3 linked regions of the Bombyx mori genome follow. The protein of the gene in region 2 interacts with the protein of the main gene of each other region in a pairwise test. Links are inferred from orthologs where the notes say so. Each region holds a gene or a part of one and is shown on either strand. Other genes may lie near its edges. The genes, in order: histone deacetylase HDAC1, histone-lysine N-methyltransferase E(z) and histone deacetylase complex subunit SAP18.

Region 1 (3,740 bases), about 6.5 Mb from region 2:
AATTGCCATTACCGATGTTCACAGCCAACCTGGTGTTAAGTGGTTACCGGAGCCCATAAACATCTACAACGTAAATGCGCCACCCACCTTGAGATATAAGTTCTAAAATCTCAGTATAGTTATAACGACTACCCCACCCTTCAAACCGAAACGCATTGCTGCTTCACGGTAGAAATAGGCGGAGTGGAACCTACCCATTAGGACTCACAAGAGGTCCCTACCACCAGTAATGTTAAGTACATATCTCATTAGACAAATTAATTGGTACATGTTAGGGCAGTTTGAACACCAGCACAGACTCATCGCTCGATACCAGTACTTCTTGTCCTTTAGGTCACGAAGACTTAAAATATATCTTTAAAGCATTATAAATCATTTGTTTATTTCAATGGCGTAGCCGCTATACGATCTCGGGAACCACCTGGTGTTCAACTATTAATAAACTTTCTGTTACGACGATCACAATGCGAGCAATATTTCTTATTTCACGAGAGCATTGAAAATAACGGCTATCTTATTCGATTTGATGTGTGTACGATGATGTTTTAAGTCAGCGGTCGGGGAACCGGGGCAAATTACCCCAAATAGGGTAAAATTAAATTTTGGAGGGTAAAAATGAAACTTTTGTGAGTAAAAAGTATATATTGAAGTGAATCTTCTTTAGAAACGTTAAATTTTTAGTTATTGTTTTCTTTTTAAAATTATCATGGGGGCTATAATATGAAAGATACTAAAAAGAAGCGATTACTTTCTTTTTGTTCTTCGCCATGGGGTAATATTAACTTACACAAAAATATTTTGGGGTAATAATAAAAAAGTTTCCCCGATCGCTGTTTTACGTGATGTGTGTACGTACGTTTAAGATCGTCCTTGATCTGCAAGGGTTCCTTGTCGAGTCGCGGACGCTTGCGCTGCGGCGCGCGGTAGGCTCGGTTGTCGCGTCGCCCGTCGCCCTCGTCCTCGGAGTCCGACAGCTCGCCGTCGTTAGCGATGCGCTTGTCCTGTTTTGCGTATCACATTCAAATCTTGTTACTACAAAATCTTGCTTGGTCGCAATGTCGCACACCACTTAGAGCAGACTGTAGAAATATCTTACAGTAAATTGGGGGGAATAGAGACTAAAGTTCGAATAGGGACAAATCTGGGATGTCACAATACTTTTGTTGAGTTGAGTTAGATTTAACTTTGTTGAACTGAAAATTACTTTTATTTAGTTTTTTTAGAATATTAAATAGTTTAATTTAGTCATCATAGTTTTTTAACTCATTAAAGATATTAAAAATTAATTACCTAAAGTTAGGTACCTACCTAACAGCTTAATAGTGCCAGCCCTATCGAAAAACTGTATTGTCCCCATACGTAATATGATTCACCCCAAAGCCAAGGTGAATGGGGTCAAGCTAGTTTTTTCAGATTTTGTGTATATTTTGTTATGAACTATGTATAATAACTCATCACAAATTTAAGCCTCCGGAACCATTTTAATCTCAATTTTATTGGTATTAACCCTAAGAAAAACCATTGAAAACTTGTGCTGGATTTGGAAAGGGTCCCGATTCCCCCAATCTACGGTACTGTTACAAATGCAGCACGCGGCAACGAGATCTATCTCTTAACCACGAAAAGCACTCACAAATAGTGGAAACAAAAATAACGAAAACATATTGTATCGTGCGAGGAACGTTTAGTGAATTGTAAAGCTCATTCGAACTCGATACTGATATTGGATTTAAGAACCGAATTGAAACCAACGAAAATAAATACAGTAAAAAGTTACAAGGGATTCAAAGGGAATTTTGCAAAATAATATTAATGAAAAAGAGTGAATACTTGTGCATATTAGATACTAGTGAGTTTGGAATAACATTCTGCAAATTTTTTTGAGATTTTAACTATCTGTAATTTTGATATTTAACTGAATAAATGTGTTATGGGTTTATTCTTGTTCAATATTTTATCCTCAAAGCCATGTATAACAAAACTAATTAGTTCACCCAAATAAATAATTAATATTTTTACTAAATATTTAAACGCATATTTAAAATTGGGCTTACTGGAAAACACTGTGTGATTAAATCCACTTTTAAATCATACCTTATCACTCTGTGGTAATCTCTCATCTTTGTCTATTTTATCTTCATCATCTGACTCATCATTGACAGCATCTTCAGGTATGGCTTGCACCTAGAGGAATAAAGAATTTTAGTGATGTTTTAAAAAGTAAACAACGTAAAAAAATATGCCTACAAAAAAAATTACAAAATACAAAACTACTTTATTTTCAAAAGCGAGTTAAAATAATACAATGATTGGGGTCTCCTTTTAAGCGTGCAAGCCTGTACTAAGAGACCCCGCTTACGAATCTTGCTTATTATTTGATTGATTATTATTATTGGACAAGAAAAACTTAGGTAACAACTGAAAAAGTACTAGAGAGATAGATGTATCTATTCCGAACATCCTACCACATGGCGTTTGCAGCAGCGGCGAAATATCGGAAACACGTTAAAACTAACAATCGTAATCAGAACTTTATCTAGTCATGTAGTAATTTGGAAAACACTTACTTGTACTCCTGGCGCATGTGGGAGCATTCTGAGATTCTCGAACAGTCTATTTTTTATCTTTTCCAGATATTCGGGTGTGTTTTGATTGGACATGTTACTTGGTGATATGTGTAGTTTGAAATCGGGCCCAAAGTACTCAAAGTAGTCATTATATGGTAGTTCATTGGCTATTTCCACACCAAGTGCAACAGATGTCTCGTAAGTCCAACAGCGAGATACATTACGTATGGTATATCTGTGAAATTTATTACACATGAAGCAATGAAAAGATGGTTAAAGAAAATAGTCTAGTTGTTGTGAAAAAATTAAGAGATTACATTATTTTGACCTAGTAATTTAAATATCTTAAGTAGTAAAGATAATGATTCAGTTTCTATCTAAAAGTGAAACATAGTCTTATATTTAAAACAACTTACCCGCCTCCGCCGACTAGTAAGAATGGAAGTCCAAACCTCTTGACAAGTTCTACACAGCGTCCATGACCTCGAACAGTCAAGTTGAAACAACCCAATCTGTCACCTTGTATAATAAAAATAGGTATTTTAGTTACAGTAATTAACTAAATTTTTATTATTTAGTTATTAATTGGTATGAGTGATTTTACGACATTCAGAATCAATTCAATTTCATAAAAAATTAGATTAAGCAAATAGCTTGGACAAATAAAAAGTGACACAAGAGTTATAAAGTTAGAGTTATTATAGTTACCTGTCAGAGAATCAGCACCACACTGTAGTACTACAGCACTTGGTTGGAATGTCTCCATAACTTTAGATATAATGGGAACAAAGATAGACTCATATGACTCATCATCCATTCCATCACGAAGGGGTATATTTACAGCATAGTATTTGCCTTTACCAGCACCAATGTCCCGCAAATCACCTGTAATATTATGATAATCAATTATTGCCATATATAAAATCTTTATAGGAAAACCCCAAGATGAGATGAGATATCTTCGAGATAATTTAATTTTTTTCTCCCAGTAGCAGTTTTTAAATGAGTCATATTACTCTTTTGTTAGATCAGAAAAATGTACAATCATTGTAAAATTGTGTACACACCTTTTAGATGTAGAGTGTACAGTCAGCGCTGTATGTACAAGGTAACAAATGCAGTGCTGCAATTACTTATCTTTCTCAGTTTCATGTGATAAAAAGGTACAAATAT
Region 2 (4,219 bases):
CTAAAGAGAATATTATTAAGGTTTGTTTTTCAAGGAAGACATCTTTTTCACTATTTGTAAGAAACAAAGATCATTTTTCAACAAAACTGGCCCAGTCCACATTTATAGTAATGACATGAAAGCCGATGTACCATGCACTTTCCCGTCGTAGTTCTTTATTAGCTCCTCGATGAATGTACCATCCTGATCCAGGACCTCGTCTCCCATGTATGGAATGTTGTGCAGAACAGTCTCATCTTCTACCATAAAATTTTTCTGTGTTGGAGCCCATGTATACATCGTCGGAATTGGATTCACAGAGTTGATTATTCTTATTGGTACCTGTTGGGTTGTCACTACACCTGAACCTGCAAAATATTTTAATTCAGTAAGTAGTAGGAAGTCCTCTAAACTGTTTTGCTCTCAATATGAAAAACTAAGTCTATGTCTTTCATGAAAAAAAAACCGAAAAGGAACACCATATGGAATCAGCAGTTCAGAAGGGTTGAGTATTTTGGGTTGTACGTCAAAGTAAATGGGAATTAGAAACTTTTTTGTTATTAAGTTTAGTTCATTAGAGAAAAATGTTTTGAGTGCATAGAATAGTTAATTTTGTTGCTGATAACACTGCAACAAAATTTTGCAATTCTTAAAAAACTACTTAGCAACTCTGGAACTTTTTTGTTTTTTATATGGTGTACATTACTGCGATAAGGCTAAAACATTATGTTTACAGTACAGGACAGTGGAACATATTTAGCAGTTCAACACTCTATTGGCCTGTTGTGGTTGAGCTTGCCACTAAATCAAGACAGGGCTAGTCACACACACATTTTATTGAAACTCAAAAATGCAAAGAGGTTAGGAGTTTAATTAATCCCAGTGACAGAAACTGTTAAAAGCTAATAGCCTCTAACCAATTTATGGGCTATTGGTTGATAAGTGCTGACAGAAAATGTGATTAATAAGACAGCAGTTGATAAGAATTGATAATAGAAAAGTCAATTAATAGGCTTGCAGTCGATATAGTCTATCTTAATTGATGTAGACAAGACTTGTAGGCAATGGCGGATCCAGAGGGGGGGGGGGGTCATGGGGGTCATGACCACCCCATGAGCTGGTTCCAGGACTTAGGTGGACCACTAATTGAATATAATGATTTTTTTTATATATATTTTGTCACCATACAGATTTTATGTAACTACATACCTTCAATATTTAATTAATTTAATATAATATAATAACTTTGTATAATGGCAAACGTTTGGGAACGAACGCATCTAAATTTGACTATGTGACCCCCTCCTGGCGCCAAAGCTGTATCCGCCCTTGCTTGTAGGTAAGGTAAGATACAAATGATATTATTTTTTCAAATTATGGGTTGCAATTGCTTGTGGGACTTTTAAATTATTTTCCTTCTGAAATTGGATTACGGAGTTGTGGTGCCCACCCTAAAATTTCAGAAATGCAAAACAATTTTAACAGCTAAGAGGATCACTGTTTCTTTGGTGGCTACAGGAAACCACGACGCGATGAAGCTACCCACCATAAAACAAAATACAGCGAGGATCCAATCATTAAAACCGGAACACACGACTGCTTCGCATCATGAGGTAGCATGGTGGTACCCACTTGCGCGGATTTGCATTTAATGAACACTACATGGTTAAGTAAGGGCAAAGTTAAGATTTACCGTCTGTATAGGTAACTTCGGCCCTCTTCATAAGGCTCTCATGGCTCGATGTAGGCGCCGGCGGGGGCCAGAAGGGCCGTTTAGTACGATCCGTAGTTTCCGCCTCAGGCATCTCTATAGCTTCGGACATTATTTGCAAATTGCGCGCCCATGCTACTTTCACTTCATCAGCGCGTTTGAAACGCTAAAAAAATTTACATTACATTCATATCCAGATTCATATATCGTAAACTTCAATATTGTCATTCTGAGTTACCTTTACTTGTCGAAGCCGCATGTACTCTGACTTAACTCTCTTCTTCCATTCAGCTGATACTTTCGATTTACTCATTTTCAAAATATTTTAATTCGGCTATTCACATTTTACAAACTTACACCTTAGAGCTATACCCATCAGTGTTGCCGCTGGGCCAACATTGGGTTGCCGTACTGGAGAAAAAAATCTACCGTATTTAAACAAAAATTGCCGTACAAAGTAATTCAAAGTTTATTATTATTTATTTCTAGGATGAAATTAAAATAATACATATTTTTCACTCCTCTCTTCTCATCAAATCTGTATTATTGCCTAAAGTAAGTTCAGTTTCAATAATCTGATCTTTTCCGTAATTTGATGGGTTTTTTTTCATTTATTGATCATTTCGGGGGTTGGCTTAAAGCTCGTACAGTACTATTTGCTAATATTGTTCCATTTATGGTAGATGTTAAGAGGCGGTTTCTTTGTTTTGTTTTGATTAGATTTACTGCACTGAAGATTCTTTTTATACACATTTTATACATTAACTCATGTATCACTACACTGCACTTTTTCAAATGTCAAAATGAAGCTACACTTGCTAGTACAAACAATGACACAAGAGCGAGGCGGCGAGGCGACTTGAGGAGACGACTCGAAGAGCAGGCGTTGTAGGTTGTAGGGAATTCCCCGTACCAAACATAAAACATTGTCTATTACAAGAGTTGGATGCGCTTATGTTTACGCAAAAAGTATTCACGTTCTGTAATCACTTTAGATACATTAATTGTTTTTTTAGCTTTATGCTCTTGTTGCCGTATTTTAGAATACGGCAATGACCACTCTGCCGTATGCCGTACAATTTGTCTTTTAGAAGCATGATTGCCGTACGAAACGGCAATTGCCGTACATTTGGCAACGCTGATACCCATAGACATATTTATTTTTTTGCGATTTTATGACCTGGTATTTAAAACCTTTAGGTCAAACCCATTGGCCATAGATAACATAAATATACACTTGCTTAGGCTTCGATCAACACTATTTTTGATCGAAGTGTTTAGGTAATTCATTTATTTAGAATCTTTTGTAATGGCTTTTTTTAAGATACTATGGCCTGGTAACCGAGATCGTTAAGCGAATACTTATATTTTATTCATAGGTTAAAAAAATTTGCAACAACATGATTATTATGAGACTTTAATTAAATGGGATTGAATGAAATCCAACGAAATAAGATGTGATAAAATTCGTTCGCAATAAAATGGTAGTTATTTACTGTAACTTATTCAATAGGTTTTTCGGTAGGCAGCGGCTTGGCTCTGCCCCTGGCATTGCTGAAGTCCATGGGCGACGGTAACCACTCACCATCAGGTGGGCCGTATGCCCGACTGCCTACAAAGGCAATAAAAAAAAAAAATACTTTTTGGAAGAATCTGAGAAACTACGATCAGTGCCTTTGTTTAATTTTTGTATATTTTTGCACTTTTACAGATACTGAACAGTTTTAAGCGTGAAGATACACTAAGTTAACAAAATAAAGCAATTCACACCACTTCAATCCCCCCCTTTCCTACTAAAACCACAGACGAATTTTGATCGAAGATACGGTGAATGTCCCTGTATGAACCAATTCCGAGAAGTAGTTGGTGGGGACAAAGAGTTAACATGCTGTGCCGCTCCAATTTAGCTATCTTTCTTTTATTTTTATTTTTCGGATGCTTGTAGTTGTTGTTGTATCAAATTAGCATTACTATAATTACATCTTACACGTACGTCTTAATCAGTTGCGGACGTAAAGTGTTTTTTTTTTAAATAAATAAAAGCTAATAACACGTTTCTTTTAGCCAAATAAAATATTATTTTAGTAGAGGGGAAGAAGCCGATCGAAGAAGACATGGATGGAGTGTGTGAATGACAATACGAGAGTGAAAGGAGTAAGTGTTGAGCTGACGGCTGATAGAAGAGAATGGAAGAGAAAAATTAGCTGTGCCGACCCTACTTAGTGGGATAAGGTGAAGAAAAAGAAGAAGAAGAAGAAGAAATAAAATATTATTTTACTTTAGTCTTCATTTTACTTTCAAACATTATGTTTTGTTCTCGACAATAAGTACGTGTTATATATAATTCATACTTTAAATATCCCGTCATAATCTGTTATTGGATTTTCTTAATACCAGAAGGCCACTGAGTATCTCGCCACCGGTCTTTTTAGTGGTTTGCGAATTCGATCTGGTGGTAGATTCAGCGAAACACAGCTCCTGCTAGGGCAAATATTAGCAAAATTTTCTCAAGCTGAGCCCCATGAGCTC
Region 3 (3,127 bases), on a different chromosome or scaffold from region 2:
CTACATTCGATTATGGATACCGATCAATAATGTTTCATACTACGACTAAGACATAGTGTGAATTGTGGTTTTAAACTGAACGAGACTCATAACCGTGGATATGCCCTCCTGCGCTATTTTTAGATGATTTATTAATTGTGTATGAAGATGAAGAAAACATAGATATTTAGAAAAACATGTGTTTTTTATACCCTAATAACTACAATTGGATAAAATTACATTAGGAACATCTCCCTTATCATAATTAATAAATTAAACATTAATAAAAGAAAAGTTCTTGAAGTAACTCATAATCCAACACTTATTTATATAGAAAATAAACCTCAAAACGATTTTTTTATTTTATTTTATTTTTATAATAGTGGTGTCAATTTCAATATATTTTTTAGATATCCAATATATTTAAGAAACAGTCCATTTTTATAGTAATATTTGATGTCCATCTTGGGCCCAGAACACTATGGAGAGTGGGTGTTCCCCTTTATAATAGTAATTTAATGAAATCCAACTTCACCCTTTAAATCAAGTGAAAGAACACAGTTGATACACATTCTTTTATTAAACTTAATTATCAGTACTGACGATTATTAATATATGGTTGTGGACGCCTCATTGGTGGTGGCATTCTGTTTGGGGGTGTTATTGAGATGTCTAGATAGTTCCCAATTTGAAATTTCAGTTGTGAAAGTGTCTTGTTATCATCGCCTCCTCTCTGTCCGGAACATGTAACTCCTATTTCCCTCATACGATATGTAGGGGAACGCATATCAGGATACACAATGGCAAAATCAAAGTATGTGCCTTTCCGTCTCGTCTCAGGATTAACTTCTTTTACAAGTCCTGTAAGTTCTCGCAGTGTAGCATCCATCCATGTATATATTTGTAATTCATTCTGAGGTACGTTTCCTCTAACATAGTCTCCAGGAGAATTATGTCGGCCAGTTGAACAAAACACACGGAGCAATAGAGGACAGGTCTGAAACATTTTAGGTTAAATTTATATCTCTATATAATCAGGAAAAAGCATAACAAATTTCCTCCTCTGTCAATTCAATTATTGTGTTTTATTTATAATCCTAATGAACGAGCTTTAGTGTTATCGAAAACAAATAGATTGTTACTTTATATCTCACATTTACAAGAAAAAATGTCAATTACGAAACAAAAAAGAACAGAGTGCTTTAGTAGACACAACGGATTTGAATGTTCTGTTGATTATTATGGTCAAATTAAAATCAGTTGGCGAACATTAATTTAAAGTAAATGCTGTTTATAGTAAAAAATAATCAATTATATTGTTTAACAAAGTACCTTTTCTCTGTCCACCGGTTTTTCTGTCGGTTTAATTTCTTCAACTACCATTGATTCTAATCCCGCCATTTTCATAATATTTGGAGAATTGTGGTCCTACTTAATTTTTCCAACTTAAGTAATTATTTAAATTATGCGAGTCTTTAAATACATGTACCGGTAAAATGGGGCGATTAGGGATTGAGAGGCGAATCGGGAAAAAACTGGGAAAATCTTTCGACGCTCAATATAAGTTTTATATTCGTTGCAAAATCTTCCATTTTTTGTAGTTTAATAGTAGAATGTTGAAAGTTCACAAAACAACTCTGAATATGCATGATAATAGCTGCTAACTTATAAAAAATCGCGTTTCAAATTAACTTCCTGTGGTGGTAATTATTTTAGTGCTAGAAACTTTGCTCTCTTTTATTTATTTGATAATAATAGAAAACGACTATGATTTATAAACGTTATTTAGTGTTTGAACCAGCATATATATTAAAGGTAAGTCTCAGTTGTTATTGGTTTTAATGTATTTGATTAAATAAAAATACATGTAAAAATCTGTTGTTTTGGGGATATTGGGGACGGCTTAGGTACAAATAACAACGAAAAAGGGGTCAATTGGGATGAGAATACGTGAAATGGAAACGAACTAAGTATAAATAGGTACAGGTTTGTAGGGTTGTCTATGTAGTTATAACAATATTTTTTAAATTTGTTGGTAAAAATCTGGTTTATTCGAAGCGAAATTGGGAATAAGTCTTTATTTGAAATAGATAAGCAATTTAATATAAGTAAGTCAATTTTGGAGAGACATGTAACAAGATCAATGAAATCTCAAGGTGGACAAAAATGTCTAAGTAATACATAATAAAATATTTAATATTTGTTCAGAGTGGGGGTATTCATCTGATTAATCCATGGAATAACCGACACACCTAATCTCTTAACCCAGATAGAAATATCAGCACTGTCGATTGCACCTATAATTGAGGTGATGTCTGCCATGTACTTTTGTCAGTTTTTCAATTTTTTTTATTGATGATCACTTTGTTGGTGCAACTAAATAAATAAATAAATTAAAACTATATATAAAAATAAAAGTAGTGCCAACCCTAGCAAATTTCTCATTTCGTCCCAATTAACCGCAATTTTCGGGTAAATAGGGATTACACCTATTTTTGCATTTTTTGCTTAAACTGGAATGCTAGTTCCATAATTTTAAATTAGACAACAAAGATGCCCCCAAGACTCAATCATTTTGATCCTGATATAGCATTATATACATCAACAACTACCTTAAAATTGATCATAAAGTTGGAATTTGTCCCTAATCGCCCCATTTTACGGTACCTTTAAACAATTTCTGATGATAAATGATTTTTTTTTTGAAGGGCTTTTATGACCTGGTAACTAAGACCTTTAGGTCAAGTATTATTTTAATTTTAATGATACGTAACTTTTTTAAATGAAAATGATATTATGAAATAAAATGAAGTTGATTATAATGAAACCTAAAGTGAAATGAAAACGAAATGAAATGACATGAGATGAGATGATATGGGATGAAGCATAATCTCAGTAAAATGGTGGTCATTTACTGAGACTTTTTCAGTGGACTTTTTGGAAGATCCCGAGAAGTTACGTTCAGTGGCTTTGTTTTATTTTCCCAAATTTGTGCACTTTCACAGATACTAAACAGTTAATAAACCACCGCTATTACACATTTAAATCTGAAGAAACACTAACTAGACAAAATAAAACAAATCACACAACTTCACTCCTCGCGTTCCCGCCAAAAGTCCATTATAAATGAATTGGTTGACTTAGCCAT

What was found.
Region 1: the proteins of histone-lysine N-methyltransferase E(z) (region 2) and histone deacetylase HDAC1 interact in binary tests that used the Drosophila melanogaster proteins (3 or more experiments, as listed by UniProt). The link is inferred for Bombyx mori from reciprocal best matches to the Drosophila melanogaster genes E(z) and HDAC1.
Region 3: the proteins of histone-lysine N-methyltransferase E(z) (region 2) and histone deacetylase complex subunit SAP18 interact in binary tests that used the Drosophila melanogaster proteins (3 or more experiments, as listed by UniProt). The link is inferred for Bombyx mori from reciprocal best matches to the Drosophila melanogaster genes E(z) and Bin1.

What each region holds. Positions count from the first base shown.
Region 1 is NC_085117.1:13,607,472-13,611,211, forward strand, and holds part of histone deacetylase HDAC1, read right to left. Parts: intron 3,453-3,740; coding exon 3,276-3,452; intron 3,087-3,275; coding exon 2,984-3,086; intron 2,803-2,983; coding exon 2,568-2,802; intron 2,185-2,567; coding exon 2,095-2,184; intron 1,002-2,094; coding exon 857-1,001; intron 1-856. UniProt on the Drosophila melanogaster protein: Catalyzes the deacetylation of lysine residues on the N-terminal part of the core histones (H2A, H2B, H3 and H4).
Region 2 is NC_085117.1:20,094,587-20,098,805, forward strand, and holds the start of histone-lysine N-methyltransferase E(z), read right to left. Parts: upstream 2,801-4,219; 5' UTR 2,004-2,800; coding exon 1,929-2,003; intron 1,857-1,928; coding exon 1,673-1,856; intron 348-1,672; coding exon 132-347; intron 1-131. UniProt on the Drosophila melanogaster protein: Polycomb group (PcG) protein. Catalytic subunit of the Esc/E(z) complex, which methylates 'Lys-9' and 'Lys-27' of histone H3, leading to transcriptional repression of the affected target gene.
Region 3 is NC_085129.1:7,373,268-7,376,394, forward strand, and holds histone deacetylase complex subunit SAP18, read right to left. Parts: upstream 1,635-3,127; 5' UTR 1,387-1,634; coding exon 1,312-1,386; intron 977-1,311; coding exon 572-976; 3' UTR 541-571; downstream 1-540. UniProt on the Drosophila melanogaster protein: Involved in the tethering of the SIN3 complex to core histone proteins. Interacts with bicoid (bcd) to repress transcription of bicoid target genes in the anterior tip of the embryo; a process known as retraction.